Daphnia pulex: one gene and its partner. The protein of the gene in region 1 binds, or shares a complex with, the protein of each later gene. Links are inferred from orthologs where the notes say so. Each region holds a gene or a part of one and is shown on either strand. Other genes may lie near its edges.

Region 1 (4,513 bases):
CTTGACGAAACTATGCAAGCAATAGTACAGACTGGGAAAATTGCTTACGGATTTCCGGCGCTGGCGCTCCAACCGGGCTTCTTTCTTTCTTTCACGGAAGTATCGCAGTCGTTCATATTCAGTACATTCCTCATGTCGAGTTAATCCATTCCTACGGTATTTGATTAGTTCTCGAATCCGCAATCGCAAAGCTCTCTCTTTAGTTAGATTGCGTAAGAATTGCTCATGCTCAGGTGCCGTGTGGAATTGGGAAAACGAACGAAATTTTTCTTGCGTTTCTCTGTACAAGGAAAAAAATGTAACTGTTTGTAATGAATCTATAGTTAACTAATTGAAACATGAATTACTTTTCCTTTTGGGACTCCCTTTTTTTTGCGGCAGTCGTAGGTTTTTCCTTCTCTTTCTTGATAGCGTTAAAAAATTGGGATACCAGTTGAAAATCCCGAGCAACCCGCTTCCTTCGGGCTCTTTCCCTCAGGCGGCGAGTATACATATCGACTTGAGCCAGTTTTAGAGCCAAATCAATATCCTCGTCGTCATGATTAATGGCAAGATGAGAAACAATTGCCTCAGCTTCATTGTCATGTTCCTACAAAAAATAAAAATAATGTTGAAGTTTTTAAGACAATTTGTTTCATGACAAATTAAGACCCACCCTTTCAAAATCATCTCTTTGAGGCATGTATCCAAGTTCTAATGTTTCTTCAGGTTGAATAGCTAAAGGTGGTAGTCGTGATGTGATGGATGGAGATAGAGGTGCATTATCTGGACAAGTGTGATCAATTGCTGCCAAGCGAGACTCTCCACTTGCGAGAAGTCCATTTGGAAGCCCTTGCCATGTTAGTTTACCTATTGTTCCTGTGACAAATCTATCACAGTACTGTTCTTTGCATTCTGTAAAAAAAACATAATTGGAGAGTAACTGATGATAAAATCCTGATAAAAATCAACAATTACTTTCTGAATCCCGTGTTTCTACATGTTTCGCAACATCTTCCCAATTTCCATAACCAAACTGTTCTATTGCATCAAGTAACTGATAGTCTTCCCTTGCAATCCAGCCACCTTCATCCTCCCTTTGTTGGTCAGGAAAAATACTAAAAGTACCAGGATCCTAGAAATTAAAAATAAAGTATTTATTGAGAGTTTGATAGAAAAACTTAAATACTCACTATTAATCTATATCCATGACTACTTTTATGTGGTCCAATTTCACAGCCAAGAGAGAAACACTAGAAAGAAACATTGCAAAACTGTGTTATTAAAATAATTCAAATTCGCCGCCGACCAACCGGCAATACCACTCCGGTGGGCGTCATAACAAACAACAAAGAAGGAAGGGGAGGGATTCATTCAACGAAGATTTTATACCACACCTGTAAACAAAGTTCGTAATCGACACAAACGTTACATCGGATTCGAATGCCAAGGATGTCGTCCTGACAGTAGCCACATCGATGCTTCATAAATAAATCTGAGGAATGGATACAGAAAGAAAGATTTTCAATTTTCGAAAATAAGGATTCAACGAGAGCATTTTTTTTTACCCGCCATCTTTAGCCTTCCCTTCCCATCAAGAACAACTAAGCTATGCCAACGCTAGCGAAAGCATTGGTCGCGCCCTCTGGTGACTGAGAAGTGAGAAGTCTTTAAAAAATAATTAAAATGACGTGTAAAATTTATAAACAATGTACACCGTACATTTTATTAAATTAAATTTTTTTTAATGTATAACGAGACGTGTTTGGTAAATAGAAATAATTCAACGTATTATATATCACCAATTGGCAACTAGTTCGTGTCGGCTTTTTCAGCTCCAATGCGGTAGTGGTCTGCAAAAAAAGTCACGCAAAATGGCTCTCAATCTGACTGTCAAGTTGCATCCTGTTGTATTATTTCAGATTATTGACTCTTATGAGCGTCGTAATCCTGATGCACAGAGAGTAATTGGAACGTTGCTTGGTAACATACAATTTAGATCATCCGTTTGCTTTCGCGTTTTATTGTTTTTTCGACTGTTGACACGTGTATCGGTATCGAGTACCTGACAAAATCTTTGGATTATATACCTAAATTCCTATAATATGCGAAATCGAAGTTGTGATAACTCATTTTTCATATTGATTTTTTCCAGGCACATCAGATAAAAATGGTGTGGAAGTGACCAATTGCTTTTGTGTGCCTCACAATGAATCAGAAGAAGAAGTGGCTGTGGAATTGGACTTTGCCAAGGATATGTATGACTTGCATCGTAAAGTTAATCCCCAAGAAAGCATTGTAGGTTGGTGGGCAACTGGTACTGGAGTCACATCTCACTCTGCTCTTATTCATGAGTACTACTCCAGAGAGTCCTCCAATCCTGTTCACATTACAGTGGACACCACATTGCAAGATACCCGTATGGGAATCAAAGCTTATGTCAGGTACATGCTATTAATTCAGTATGATACAATTGCTTTGAAAAATAATTATCTTTAAATTATCATCTAGTGTCCCAATGGGTATCACAGGCAAAACTATGGGATGCATGTTTGCTCCTGTTTCTGTTGAGATAGCATGCTATGACCCAGAAACTATTGGATGTAATTATAATAGAAAATGTGTATGTATACTGGGAATTAATCTTTGATTGTTTTTCAGTAAATGCCTGCCAGAAAACCAAAACCTCGGTTAAACGTCAAGCGGGCATCGCTTCGGATCTTACTCAGATTGTTGAAGCCTCGCAGCAGATGGAAAACATGCTGGACACTATCTTGGCTTATGTTGACGACGTAATGAGTGGCTCCAAAACGGCTGACAACACGTTTGGTCGTTCTCTATTAGATATGGTTCATTCGGTACCTAAAATGACACCCGACGAATTTGAAGAGATGCTTAATTCAAACCGAAAGGTAGAAAACATTACCCAATATTTACTTATTTAATCTAATTTTTGTAAAACTTTATTAATTTAGGATTTATTGATGGTATTATATCTATCACAACTTACCAAGACTCAACTGTCGCTGAACGAAAAACTCACATTGTTGACAATTTAATTCAGAACGTTGATATAAAAAATAAAAATGAACATCTCCCAATTAAATTACAATTTTCTGATGTAGTCCTCGTGAGCATATTTATTAGGAAACTATAGTATACAGTCACACGTACACAAGGGGGAAGAAAATTTCTTCGCTACCAAGGAAAAGAATCACACCCATCTTCTCTCAGAGAGCAAAAAAAATGATGATTAGGAAAAGCGAAAAACAGAATTTCAAGAAACGACCATCAGGAAGTTGGCCAGGTTTAGTAGCTATCGTTTACATGAGGAATGCTTAATTAAGCAGGCACATTGGTGGGTAAGATAGATTTATCCAGATCGGTAAACCAAGCATGATCTAAAGCATCCTGAGCCGTGATACGAAGGGCTGGATCGTAAATGAGAGTTTTTTGAAGCAGATCAAATCCAATCGAGTCAAGTTGCTTCACGGAATTTTGAAGGTGGTAAGTATTCCAATTAGGGAAAGTAGGTTTATAGTCGGGCATTTTTGAAACGCCTGGCCACATTTCCTCCGTGGGCGTCTTCATTACTCTGTGTTTCAAATAAAATAGGAACAAATGTAATTTTAAAAATAAAAAAAAAAGGACAAGTAACACTACCGGAAAATACGGTAAAGCTGATCAATTTCCGAATCTCCTTGGAACAATGGCTTTTTCGTTATCATTTCAGCCATAATACAGCCAACCGACCACACGTCTATGGGGCACGAATATCTTGATGACCCAAGCAATACTTCAGGAGCACGGTACCATAGAGTAACAACCTTCGTGAGTTCAAAAGAATTTATAGTATACGTCCATGCATTGGGAACCTTCTTTCCTTTACCTCGTGAGTGTAGACACGAACGGGAACTCCAAATACGCGCCCAAGACCGAAATCAGCTATCTTAATAATTCCGTTTTTATCGATGAGTAAGTTCTGGGGCTTCAAATCTCTATGCAAAACTCGACGTCTATGACAATATAAAATGCCTTCCAAAATCTAGAGGGAAAATATAAATCAGGCCAATATATAAATGAGTCCTAAATCTTCTAAGCAAACCTGGTGGCAATAAGACTTAACAAGAGTTTTATCCATCAACTGCCCAGTTGGAATGCTGTCCATGTACTTTTTAAGGTCCATTGACAGGAACTCAAAAATTAAATACAGCTTTCCTTCTTGCATCAAAACATCCTCCAGACAGACGATATTGGGATGTAGCAGCTCTTTCAAAAGTGATATCTCCCTGATGGCTGTCGAAGGAACACCATCATCTTCATTTTCAAGCCTGATTTTCTTCATGGCAACAAATTGTTGAGTCTTACGGTTTTTAGCCTTGTAGACAACACCATAAGTACCTTTGCGAAACAAAAGTTTTAAAATCAGTTCAAGTTACACAGCTTAGTGTACCAGGGATCATTACCTTCACCGATCTTTTCTATTTTGGTAAAGTCTTCCATTGCAGAAGGCATCACTATTGTTTGTTAAGAA
Region 2 (4,088 bases), on another chromosome or scaffold:
AATTTTTGGTTGATCCGTTTAGTTTCTTGCTCTATGGTTCCGGTTTCGGTGCTCGCCAAATTTAGCGCTTCCCGTTCCTGGCGTACTTGATTGCGAATATTTTTTGCCAGAACCTTTGATTTAAAAATTTAATTTATTAATTAAAAGTTAAAATCCATGCTTTCTTCATCAAATCAATCAGCCCTGCATGAAGTATAAATATGATATCCATGGTTAATTGCCTCGTTAATAACGAGGTGATTAAGTGAGACTTGTCTATGCAGAAATTGCTTTTACGTCATGTCATCTTCTGACGCATTTTCAGACAACAGAACAACATTTAATGATACAAACTTTGAACACAAAACAAGCAGGAAAAATCTGTTTAGCAATATGAAAGTTGTTGGACCGTGAACCATGGCCATCATGAGCAGATCTCTACTTACATGTGTTTGTTGTGTGCTTTGTTCAAGCGTCGTGAGATCTTGTTCGGCAGTTTTAACAACATTTTCATTTTGATCGAGTTCCATTAGTAGCTGAGCGAGTTTATTTCGCTTGTCTCGGACCTGTGTACATTGATATACGATTTAATTGAAATCAATTCTGGATTTAAAATACGGGAAAACTTGTTGCTTACATTTTGTTGAAGCAGTCGGTTTCTTGCGTTTGCTAAAGGCAAAAACTCTGCTCCGTTAACTTCTTTTAGTTCCATTTTCTTGCTCAACTTGTGCTCTATCACTCCAGAAATTCATTAACGAACTTTCTCACAGTGAAACGCCATATAACGAGTTAGAAGTATCGACCAAACAACCACTTTTATGCCACTACTAGTCTGCTACTCAGCAGGAAACGCACGTGCTTCATTTATTGATTAGGCATGCAGCCGGCTGCCACGGCAACGATTTCCATTACATTTTAAAAACAAAACCCCCCTAATCCCCTCTCTTACGCCCACTGGGTATCAAATAAGGATTCACCAGTATACAAATTTGCGGGGTACTCAAAACTCAAATTTAAAAAAATAAATATTGAAAGTTATTTGCTTACTTTTGACAGTGTGTAGCATTCAATGGGACAAATACATCTAACTACATCTAACTTTACAACTGTCACCATCTCCTTTTTTGACGCTAAAAGTAGAAAACTGGAACGTCTAAGAAAATATGCAACTTAACTCTATATATTGAATTAGAATAATTAAGAGGGAGGTTTTAACTTTTAACAGAAATTCAATCTCAATATATCTTAAAACACTGAAAAAACTGACAAGAGCAAAATGGCAAAATCATACATTTATTTTACCAATAAACCTTTTCCCGCCAAAAACAAAAGAAAAACAATTGGACCCTACATGAAGTCGTCATAGTCTCCTCCTCCGAAATCATCACCGAAGTTGTCGACCATTCCTTTGTCCATTTTTAAAGCAACTTTTGTTTTTCCTTTCTTTCCACCTTTTGTCGCCGCCTTCACCATCTTGAGTTTTTCTTCGTGCAAGGATTTGGTAGTTAGACTAACTTTTCTAAGGACTTCGACTTCCACTATGTTGAAAAACTGGGATGTAGAAAAGTTTTTAGCAACCAACATTAGAAAATGTGACTTACATCCAATGCAAACATCTTTAATGAAGTCCTCTATAAAATCATTATAGCACGCTTTAGTTGACAATGACTGAAGTTTTTTCACCAAGTTGTTCTTGAATTCTGAGAATTCCTCTTTAGATGAAGGGTTTGCTTCATCTATGCTTCCCTCTGTAGGCAAACTACCAGTAATTCCTGGAAAATAAAAATAACATTGAGAACAAAATATAAAACAAATCATGCTTAGTGCAGGTCAGCAATACAGTTTCCTAAGACAACTTACCAAAGGTTTCCTTGGCCATTTCAAAATCTGATTCTTCAACTAGTTTTTGTCTCCGAAGCTTTTCTGCTATTCTCTCTTCAGGTGTCATGTTTGCTTCCTGCAATATTTTTCTGGCTTCAGCTTCTTCTCTGCTTTTCTTTTCTTTTTCGGCTATTTTTTCTTCTAATCTTTTACTTGACTTTTTTTTGGTAGCCTGAAAGTAACAAACACATTTTAAATTTTTTGGATACTTTTACGAGAGATCACATGTACTTACTGTGGCTGCTGCTTTGACTTCAGCAGGCTTATTTTCTGTTTCTTCATCTTCCCAGCTATCCTATCATTTATAAACAAGAAAAAATGATAATTTTGAAATCAATCACAACTTTATGTAAAACTCATTGAGCAATAAGAATTTTTTGGCAAAAGAAGACACATGGTAGTCAAGTGAAAGTTGTAAGAATTGGAGCAGAAATAGAAAGGTACTGAGAGAACTTTTTTTCACTACAAGCGCTACAAGGTTCTACCAAATTTGTAGATATACTTACTACTAATATCATCACAATTGAATTACAACTCACCTTGACAGGTTCATCTTCATCCTCACCTTCCCATTTATCTGAAATTATGGCAGTCGTAACTGGAACAGGGACAGAGGGTTCAAAATCTTCGGCATCTATAATCACCACAAAATCGTATTTGATTAGAGTATACGATTAAATGGAACTTTGATATGCACTATTGAGAATTTCATACAAAAAACAGGTGGAATTGAATAACTTAATATAGAAATAATTAAATAAAATCACCCCAATCCGCCTCGGCCTCCATCTTCAACGAAAAATCGTGAACACACTAGTGTCCATGGCAGTTGCCAAATGCTTTCACTTTTCTAATAATGTTAATATGTGCATTACAAAATATTAAATATAGAAACCTAACAATAATTAAATTTTGAAACTTTATTGCAAACCTTTTATTATGAATTATTTAATTTTTTTTACCTGAGATATCTCGTTAATCCCAGCGTTGCTTAGTCTAGTGTTTCTGTCTTCCAGAGGCGCTAGTGTTTGCCTGTTTCCGAACTGCTTTTCTCTGACATTACCTGTTATTTAGCAATTGATAGGAGTTTCTGTCTGTATTAGTTGAGTTGACGTTTCACGGTGACCGTCGAAACAAAAGTTACCGCAAATTGGAGTAACAAAGTGACCGAAGTTAAAAAAAGAAATATTTGATAATGTCTGGATTTGATCAGAATCCTTTTGCAGAACCGGCTGTTTTCAACCCGTTTGCGGTAGATTATTTATAATATGTATATTATACTTACTATTACCATACTAATACCTTGGTTGAAAACTGGTGATTCATGGAGTACTCGCCGCATACAATATGAAAGAAAACCTTTTGAAAAATCACCTTGTTTATTAGTTTAGTGGTAAAGTGGTTGTTTACTTTCACAATAGGATCCATCTGTCCAGCAAGCTGCAGGAAACAATGCTGCGAGAGCTCAGCAAGGTCTTGAAGAATACAACCCTTTTGATGGTAGTAATCAAACTACCAGAGTTTCAATGGTAAAACATAATTTTATCATGAAAGTGGGAAGTGTGTTTGATTTGTTACAAAATTTAAGGACCGTGTTGGTGGAGCCAATCCACCCCCAACAATTCAAGCTGCCCCAGTGATATCTCCAGGACCACAACAACAAGCAGCTATGTCAAATGCGGATTTTCAAGTATTAAAACTTAAAAAGAAAGAAGGAAATCTTTATTCATTATATTGCATGGTTTTATAGAGACGTCAAGAAGAACTAGAGAAGAAAGCTCAAGAATTGCAGAGGCGAGAAGAAGAATTAAAGAATAATGTACCATTCAACTGTAGGAGAGAACAAATTTAAATGAAACTTTACTTTTTAATTTCTGTTATTTACTTCTTCATTACAGCTCAGCGCAATAATTGGCCACCACTGCCTGACAAGTTTTGTGTCCAACCATGCTTCTATCAAGACATCAATGTGGAAATCCCACTTGAATTTCAAAAAATTGTCCGCATGTTATACTATATTTGGATGCGTAAGTTAAACATATCATAGATTTCTTGTTTAAGTTTATTTTTGTTATCAGAAACTTTTATTGATTTTGTTTTGTTTCTTTATTTTCAGTGCACACCCTCATGTATCTTCTAAATGTTTTGGGCTGCTTAGCCTTATTCATTCAAGTGGGAAGTGGTGCCATGTTTGGCTTGTCAATCCTATACTGCATCCTTTTCACACC

Evidence for each region. Proteins that work in one complex are often made in the same cells at the same time.
Region 2: eukaryotic translation initiation factor 3 subunit F-like (region 1) and eukaryotic translation initiation factor 3 subunit J-like share a complex: the UniProt entries of both Drosophila melanogaster proteins name them as parts of the eukaryotic translation initiation factor 3 (eIF-3) complex. The link is inferred for Daphnia pulex from reciprocal best matches to the Drosophila melanogaster genes eIF3f1 and eIF3j.

The regions. Positions count from the first base shown.
Region 1 is NC_060026.1:11,479,377-11,483,889, reverse strand, and holds eukaryotic translation initiation factor 3 subunit F-like, read left to right. Parts: upstream 1-1,801; 5' UTR 1,802-1,853; coding exon 1,854-1,962; intron 1,963-2,134; coding exon 2,135-2,423; intron 2,424-2,490; coding exon 2,491-2,582; intron 2,583-2,640; coding exon 2,641-2,891; intron 2,892-2,954; coding exon 2,955-3,038; 3' UTR 3,039-3,085; downstream 3,086-4,513. Other genes in the region: transcriptional adapter 2-beta-like, read right to left, coding at 49-280, 348-589, 656-894, 958-1,114, 1,173-1,232, 1,377-1,474, 1,548-1,554; cyclin-dependent kinase 1-like, read right to left, coding at 3,322-3,574, 3,643-3,806, 3,869-4,024, 4,085-4,380, 4,446-4,494. UniProt on the Drosophila melanogaster protein: Component of the eukaryotic translation initiation factor 3 (eIF-3) complex, which is involved in protein synthesis of a specialized repertoire of mRNAs and, together with other initiation factors, stimulates binding of mRNA and methionyl-tRNAi to the 40S ribosome.
Region 2 is NC_060019.1:7,842,639-7,846,726, forward strand, and holds eukaryotic translation initiation factor 3 subunit J-like, read right to left. Parts: upstream 2,715-4,088; 5' UTR 2,650-2,714; coding exon 2,628-2,649; intron 2,495-2,627; coding exon 2,400-2,494; intron 2,156-2,399; coding exon 2,096-2,155; intron 2,033-2,095; coding exon 1,840-2,032; intron 1,752-1,839; coding exon 1,581-1,751; intron 1,518-1,580; coding exon 1,327-1,517; 3' UTR 1,253-1,326; downstream 1-1,252. Other genes in the region: coiled-coil domain-containing protein 39-like, read right to left, coding at 1-113, 426-545, 617-691; secretory carrier-associated membrane protein 2-like, read left to right, coding at 3,056-3,112, 3,282-3,389, 3,449-3,550, 3,611-3,692, 3,759-3,887, 3,977-4,088. UniProt on the Drosophila melanogaster protein: Component of the eukaryotic translation initiation factor 3 (eIF-3) complex, which is involved in protein synthesis of a specialized repertoire of mRNAs and, together with other initiation factors, stimulates binding of mRNA and methionyl-tRNAi to the 40S ribosome.